Linked DNA regions of Canis lupus familiaris. The protein of the gene in region 1 purifies or fractionates together with the protein of each later gene. This does not show direct contact. Links are inferred from orthologs where the notes say so. Each region holds a gene or a part of one and is shown on either strand. Other genes may lie near its edges. The genes, in order: PPP2R3A and PPP2R1A.

What was found.
Region 2: the proteins of PPP2R3A (region 1) and PPP2R1A purify together in Homo sapiens (affinity purification with mass spectrometry; 6 studies listed by BioGRID and IntAct, counting the BioPlex papers as one, with this or other methods). This does not show direct contact. The link is inferred for Canis lupus familiaris from reciprocal best matches to the Homo sapiens genes PPP2R3A and PPP2R1A.

What each region holds. Positions count from the first base shown.
Region 1 is NC_049244.1:33,033,686-33,037,503, reverse strand, and holds part of PPP2R3A (serine/threonine-protein phosphatase 2A regulatory subunit B'' subunit alpha), read right to left. Parts: intron 481-3,818; coding exon 214-480; intron 1-213. UniProt on the Homo sapiens protein: The B regulatory subunit might modulate substrate selectivity and catalytic activity, and might also direct the localization of the catalytic enzyme to a particular subcellular compartment.
Region 2 is NC_049222.1:105,633,951-105,638,553, reverse strand, and holds the start of PPP2R1A (serine/threonine-protein phosphatase 2A 65 kDa regulatory subunit A alpha isoform), read left to right. Parts: upstream 1-1,661; 5' UTR 1,662-1,766; coding exon 1,767-1,844; intron 1,845-2,181; exon of another isoform or gene 2,182-4,603. UniProt on the Homo sapiens protein: The PR65 subunit of protein phosphatase 2A serves as a scaffolding molecule to coordinate the assembly of the catalytic subunit and a variable regulatory B subunit.

The DNA.
Region 1 (3,818 bases):
TGGGAGACCATTAAGGTTTTATTCAAACTTACGGAGTTCCATGAAATGGATGACATATCCAGGATGATATAGATGGATCAAATAAATTTTTTCAACATGGGGGAAAAACCTAGCCATGCTTAAAAACAGAAAGCAAAGAGACAGTGAGGAGAGAGAGAGAGATTAGGATTGCCAGAGAAAGAGAGATTATATATCATTTAGTAGTTATATTACCTTTGCAATTTTTCCCATTTCATAGATGTCTGCTTTCTGATCTTCAATATCCATGAAAGCAGTTTCAATTTTGCTTAGAGTCTGTTCATGGTTACTGCAGGCATCTGGGAGTCCTTCGGGAAAGTAGAACTGTGGAATGTTTATGGACAATGGTGCATTCACAACATTATTCACATGAGGAACAGGGGAGAGAGGTCGGGGACTACTTGGAAAGGTGGCTGTAGGTGGAAGTGGCGTTCCAGGTTTCTTTTCTGGTTTATTTTGAATCTGGAAGGAAAATGTGATTATGAAACACAAAAATTCTCAACAGCATATACTTCTTGAAAGTCCTCATCAGTAATAAGAATAGAGACAGCAGAGATGAAGAAATCACTCTATTACTAGGGTGATAAGTGTGCTTCTAGGGAATGCCTATCCATAAAAAATAAACACATTAATTATCTGTCAATATTCGAATTTAAACAGATTTATGCTTTAAAAATCCTACAGTACATTTTCCCATCAATTATGTTCTAGACATTTAAGAGCAATGTTAGCTGACATATTAAGGAGTATTCAAATGTATTCTTAGTCTGTTGGAATTGGAGTAGTAAATTCTTTCTGAAGACTGTTCATCTTTCTGCACATTTCTACTTCTACTTTGACAGGCAGATAAGAGTAAGTTCTTTTAAAATGCACACATCTAAAATATATTGGGGGGGGTGTCTTTTCACCTTCTTCTCTCTAGTTTGACTTTGTTTAGGTAAAATCACTGCCAGTCCCTGATGCAGAGAAAGCCTTTGTTAAGAAAATTAAAGCATCTTAGTTTTTGGAATGTCTTCTATCAGGTTGATTTACTTGCCCCTTGGGGCATGCAATTTTTTTTCTATGATACACACTTCTTTCATTTTTGGTACACTCTAATAATAGGCAGGGATCATGGTCATCAATTTCATTGCAGCCAAACTCCCTTCAGAGTTTATTAACTCATTTATAGTTTATGTCCTTCCTTTGTCCAAAAAAGATTTCATGTGGTATGCCATAAAGAAACATAAGGACGGTATAAAGGGGGGACAGGCAGGCAATGAGGAGATTAAGATTATCCATGATTTAGGGAAAGGGGAGGGGAGGTTCACTAACATTCAGGTAAAAGTCTACTTTACCAATGAAGACTAAATTGAGTTTGGAGATTCCGAGCAGAAAAAGCAAAAAAGATTCCAGAGTTTTAATTTCTTCTCTTAATTTTGATCAAATTATCTATCAAGGCTCATGAGCATGGCACTGTGTTAGGTACTACATAAAGTTATCAAAGAGTGACATGACTGTTGATCATCATGAACACAAAATATTACCCAAATGTTAACTTTCCTTAAATAATCCGAATGCCACTCCTAAAGTTTGAACAATGATTTATTTCTAAGTAGTAGATCTGAATATCATATTTCCTTTTGACATATGGGCTCATAACAGATCTTTAAACTCAGGATAAAAATCTTGGCTACCCTTGAAAAGCATAAGTATTACAGGAAGATAGCTTCATTCACACAAATATGTGATGAATATGATTTAGTCTTCTTTTGTCACACATGACACATTCTTAGATTAATATCTGACACTAATACATAGAGTCCGCTCATATATTAATACTACTGGGGATATAAAGACCAGTTGGTCATACCAAGATTTTGCTGCAGTATAAGCATGTCATCCCTATAAAGCAACAGTCAAAGAAAACATGGCACAGAGAAAAGTGAGGCTAATGAAATATGAAAAACGTAAAAGAAAACAGTGATGGCTTACTAGCTCTGTGACCTCAGGAAAATTACTTAACCTTTTAGAATTCAGTAATAAAACAGATTATAACACTTCTTGGAAGGTTGCTGTGAAGATTAAAGGCAATTACAGGACATAACTAATATAGGTAAAGGGTTCAGAACTGTGCTAGACACAGATATGTCCTTATTTAAGAGCCACAAGGCTAAAGGGTGAGGTTCTTAAAAGGCTAAATATAATTTGGCATGGTCCTTCAGATTCAACAAGAAATAAAAGAATTGTTTACATTTGTAAAACAATTTAAAGTTTACAAACCACTTTTGATTTGACAAATTGATAATCGGTTTATAAACATTTCTCTCTGCTTTAATGCTAAATCTGTAAATATTATTACATAGTCCCATGAGTCAGTAACAGCAGAAATTGTTCCTAATCTTCTACAGGGCATATAATTCTTCAGGGGCTTTACATTTAAATATAATAGGTCATTTATATTAGTGATATCCCCTTTCTATTATTCTATGCTGAAACAGGTCTGTGAGACTACAAGTGTACAATCATGAAAATTCTTTTTTTGTTTCCCCAAAATGTTTCCCATGGTGTGACATCCAGGCAGTTATAACTGTAGGATTAAGACCACTGGTGCCAGTGGGGATGAAATCCAATAGTTTAGTGAGCACATACGAGCAGAGGTTTTAAAGCAAGGCCTTCTATGATAACTCTACACTTTTGCTTCGACAGAAGTAAGTAACAATTGAGAACAAACCCTGCTATCTGTCAAAGTTTTTATTTAAATGGGTATTCAATTATATAATCTACTTTGCTTTCCTTAGTGTACCTCTTACCATTAAGCAATTCACTGATAGGAAAGTATTTATCAATTCATTGGTCAATCCCATATATAACAAAATTGATGTTAATATTTAAAAGGGAAAAGAAAAAATGCATTTATTTTGCACTTTTATATGTTATCAATTTACTTTCCACTGAATTCAATACAAGATACATAATTTAAAGTATTTTAATAAAGCTGACCTTTATAAATGCTATAGAATAAGACAGTTAAATAAAATTTGGCAGATTTACTGGCAAGTTCAGCATCTGCTCATTTTGAATAGAATGGTTTCATTCAAATTGAGAAATAGCATTAAAATAGAACTATTAGGGGAAAATGTCTCAATTCTCCATTTCATTCTCCATTTATTAGCCTATAAATATAGTATCATTTAGTTAGTACCCTTATACTATTATGTCACTGTAGCATTTCCAATATTTGGCCATTTTTTATTTAAAAAAAAAGCAATTTCATATGGTTCACTCAATCTGAAATCACTCTGAATCAGAATAACTATGAAACTATGGTTTCTTACTGGATTCTGGGTGGCCATCACTTGTATGACCCTTGATTTGTATTGCATTCAAGGTAAGGCAAATTGTTTGATACAACACTGGCCCTAGGTATAAGAAAGTAAGCATGGGTTCTGCAAAGTTATCATCATAGGCAGAAATGACTCAGTATCACAGCTTGCTGAGGGAGGACATTCCTTCACAACCCAGAAATTAATTGCCATCCTTTGTTAGTTTCATACATTATATCACACCCACACAATTGTCTATATATATAATTAGTTCTTCCTGAAAAAAAAGATTACCAGGCCTGATACTTTAAAAACAATTCATTACAGATGTATTACAAACATCGTCTATTGATTCAAAGTGTAAATAAGGCTTTTAACACAGAAATTCCAGTTTCTCAAAGACATTTCTACTAAAATTTGTAAACTGTAAGATATTTATTGAGGTGTATTTATTGTCTCTAAAACTGGATTCCCTCTCTACAAGAGAAAAATGTG
Region 2 (4,603 bases), on another chromosome or scaffold:
CCCTGGGCCACTGGGTCTCGTTAGTTTCAGGGCCAGCTCTGCAGAACCGAATTGGAGGCAGGTCCTTCCTTTTGGTCACATCTCAAAAACCTGGGCTGCTGCCAAGGGTCTAGCTGTTCAGTGCGTTACTTGGAAAAGTATGGACCAGCAGATTAAGGACCCCCTCCATCCACTGCCTTGTTGGGCTGTGAACTGTGGAAACCAATTGCAGTGCAGAAATGCTTGCATGGGTCACTCATTTAGATGCCCATGGTGAGGGCCTGTTCTTCACAGAGACTGCCTAGAATCAAGCTGATGATTGAGCCTGTTTCTGATGCAGAGGTATTTTTCATGGGGAACAAAGGACTAGCTAAGGACAAAGCACAAGCCCTGGGAAGTACATTGACAAGTCCTTGAAACAGGGGGAGTGATGTTCCTCTACAGACTCAACTGCCTTGGTGTTCATACTTTGCTAAGGGCAAAAGGCAAGATTAGCCAGACACCCAGGATCCTGTAAGTCTACTTTAACATATAAAAATTCCTTTAGAAATTCCCTTTATCTCTAAACCCCCAAGATACATATTGGCAATCATCCCACAAGCACGTGGCTCACCAATATACATTTGAAGGGTCTCATGACTCAGGTTTTATTAGACGGTAATAAGTGACCTTTTCTCAACAATAGCTAGCCCCCTCAAGGTCCTGGAAACCTTGCTTCCAAAATTCCTTAGAGTATGCTATCCTCAAACCCCTCCCAACCCCCAGGTATATAATCAGCCACCCCTCACAGGCCTAGGGCAGCAGCTCTTCCTGTCCACGGGTCCTGTCCCCGTGCTTTACTAAAACCACCATTTTGCACTAAAGACGTTTCAAGAATTCTTGGTGGTCGGTTCTAGACCTCACCTATAATTCCAAAACTTCATCAGTGGTAGTGGTAGTCGTATGTGGTTCTGAGGGCTGGACGGCAGTGAACGGGAGACATTTATGCAGAGATCTGCTCTCCAAGGAAAGGGATGTTTTGGACAAATGCTGTTTGACGTGAAAAAGCATGATGTACTGCGAGGGCTCTAATTTTTCAGGGCCACTGAAGTGTAAAACGAGAAGTGGAAGATGCGCCTAAGTACGGTTTAGGAACCAGATTCACAAGGGCCTTGACTATCAGCCTGAAGGGCTTGAGTTTCATCGAGAGAGTAAGGCAAGTCACCAACCTTCGGGGGGCCTCCGCATAATAAGGCAAAAACCTAAGGCTCATTCCCATCTCCTCCCTCACAGAGTTGCCGGCAGTACGTCCACCAGGAACCAGGACCACTGCCTCACAAGCCAAAACTTGCAGACTGTCCGGGTCCTCACATGACGTCACGCACTCCAAGCGACGCATGCACAGAAGCTTTGTGCTGGACCGGCCAGAGGGCAGTCTTTGCTTCCTCTGAATCCCTCCATTTATTGGTTAGGTACAACTGCTCGTCTCCCTCGTCGTTAGCGGCGACGTAGGCGGGTACAATCTTGGTCGCTAAGATACCGCGTACTTCCGTTTCCTTCCCCTCTCTGCTATACTGAGACCGCCGACTTCGTCCCTTCAACCAATGGCAAATGGGCAGTGGGCGGGGCTTCACTTATCCGGACCAACGAAATGCGGGCGTCGCGCGGCCAATGACCGTGGGGCAGCCCCTGTAAAGTGGCTCAGGCGACCCCACGCTCGTCTTCCGTCCTCTGCCCAGCCCTACCCTTCCTGCCCCGGTTTCAGCACGGCGCCGGCTGCAGTCTGACAGGAACGGGACGGAACCAAGATGGCGGCCGCCGACGGCGACGATTCGCTCTACCCCATCGCAGTGTTGATAGACGAGCTTCGCAACGAGGATGTTCAGGTCCGGAGGCTACGGGGGTCTTGGGGAATTACAGGAAGAGGTAATGGGGGCACGGACGGCCCTCGCGGAGAAGGCTCAGTGTTCGCTAGGAGTGGCGGAAGGGGGAGGCGGCCAATCAGCGTCCGGCTTTCACGTTTCCATGTCCCTGGACTGGATGAGAGGGCGCCCGGGATTGGGTGTTGGCCCACTGGAGGGCGGGAGGCAGGCCAGCCTGGAGGCGCCCGGGCCTGCCAAGTGCGCGCGGCGGCCCGGGTCCTGGGAAGCTGCGACTGGGGAGGGGGTCAGGCCACTGGGTGGGGCGGAGGGAAGGGCTCGGTGATTGGCGGCGGCCCCAGAATGGCCTCTTGGGGATGGGGCGCGCGGCCTATTCCGAGTGGGGGAGGGGCCCCCGGTGTGTGGGGGCTCGGGTACGTTTTCTCCTTACTGTGTTCTGGCGGCTGGGCCTCAGCGCCTTGGGGTAAACTCTCGGAATGGGGCTTGAGCGGTGACGGCTGCCCTTCCAATTCCTGCTCTCCCTCCCTTTTCAGTTTTGGTGTAGAATCCACGAGGGGAGGTGCGGCGAGAACACCCCATTCCCACGAGAGCAACTGGCCAAATTTAAGCACGGATTTCGAGATAGAGATTCTCCCGCCTTCTGGGGCCCTGCCGGGCTGCGGTGGGCAGTTGACTAAACAGCCTAGCACATTTCTGGTGAAGGGCTGAGAAGACTGAGGACTCCACGGTTTGCCCACCCCGGCCCTACCTCCCACCCGCCGTGTGACCTTGTGCAAATTACTTCATCGCTCTGGGCCTGTTTTCTCTGCAATGTAGGCTAATAATAGTTCCGGCCTCCCTGGGTGGTTGTGATGGCCTGGACGAGTTAATACTGCAAGTAAAATAGAACGGTGCCTAATTGTTATAAGGGTCCAATAAATGTTAGCTGCAATTATTGGGAGTAGTAATGGAAGAGGTCCCATTCCTTTATAGGAGCTTCCATTTTTCTGTTTATGAAATTGAGCGGATTGCATTAGGCCCAGCCTCTGAAGTTCGAGGTAGATCACTGATTCTGGAGTCAGACAGGCTGCTGCTGTACTTCTTGCTAATTGACATGGGCAAGTTTGTTAATCCTCTTGGCCCTGGCTTTCCTCTTCTCTCAGATGGAGGTAATTATCTGGTTCATAGGGCTCTTGTATGAATTCATTTGTTCAATAAACACCTGCCCCATGTCAGTTATGGTGATAATGGTGACACCAGTTGTTATACAAGAGGCAGATGTGAAACAGCTGAATAGATTATTAACAGTTGTGAGATGTGGGAAGGAAACAGGGTATTGTGATGGTGAATCAGTATTTATTGGGCCTCAGCTCTAGGTAGTGCATTGTTTTAGGCACATGTATACAAAAAGGAACAAGGTGGACAAGAACTCCTGGACTCCTACAACTTTTATGTTGCCTGTGGAGAAACAGACAATAAGACAATTAAGTTAAAATGTATACCATGTAAGATGGCAATAAATGCTTTGGAGAAAAATGAAGCAGGGATGGAGAGGACGGGAGAATGTTACACAAGTTTAGAATGACTAGGCAAGGCCTTATTGAGAAGGGGACATTTTAGCAGAAATGTGAATGAGAAGCAGGCCTCATAGATATCTGGGGGAATAGCATTCCAGGTAAAGGAAGCAAGCGCAAAAGTCCTGCAGCAGGAATATGTAATGCATGCTCTGAGAACTGCAGGAAACCAGTGTGACAGGAGCCAAAGGAATGAGCTGTTGGGTGTCAGGAGATGAAGATAAAAGGGACTATGACTCAGAGGGAACTTGTGAGCAGTCACTTAAACTAGGTGTTGCCAGATCATTGAGCACAGTGGTTAAGAAAGTTTTTGAGATGTTTTATGGTACAGCTTAACAAGTTTAAGTAGCATGAGGACCTGTGGATAGAAAGAGCTGTACTTCTGTATGAAGCCAGTGGTTATATGCATGGTGCTCAAGGGGCAAGGGATGTGGAGGGAGTATTAGATCATAAATGTTTTCGAATTTCTAATTGTAAAACTAATTTCACAAGATTTCTCTGGTATTAACTATTGGTGAGATATAGAGGCACTCTTTAAGAATGTAGCAAACAGGTTTTTTGTCCTTATTGAAACTATGCAGCTCTAGGTCAGCCTTCTGGGCTAAAAATGAACATATTTCTGCTTCTATCCCTCATCACAGGGATTGGCAAATGGCAAAGGGTGGCCCTTTGCCTTTTTATTTTTTTAATAGAGTGTTATTGAAAACACAGACTCTTCCATTTACATATTATCCATGGCTGCTCTGTGAAACAATAGGGTAGAATTGAGTAGTTGCAACAGAGACAAGTTTTGGCCCCTTAACGCCTAAAATATTTACCACCTAGTTCTTTACAGGAAAGAGGATGCCAACCTTTTTTTTTTTTTTTTTTAAGATTTTATTTATTTATTCATGAGAGACAGAGAGAGAGAGAGAGAGGCAGAGACACAGGCAGAGAGAGAAGCAGGCTCCATGCAGGGAGCCTGATGTGGGACTCAATCCCAGGACTCTAGGATCACGCCCTGGGCCAAAGGCGGCGCTAAACTGCTGAGACACCCAGGGATCCTGAAAAATAGATAATTAAACAAAATACGAAAACTCGACTTGAACCACCTCTGTATTAAATCCTATCCTCTCTTCCCCCCTACCTCCACCCCCAAAGTAGCCTATGTAATGAGGTCCTTACAAATCCTGGTAGGTATGTGCTGTTCACTGTGCTAGCCACTCTCTATAT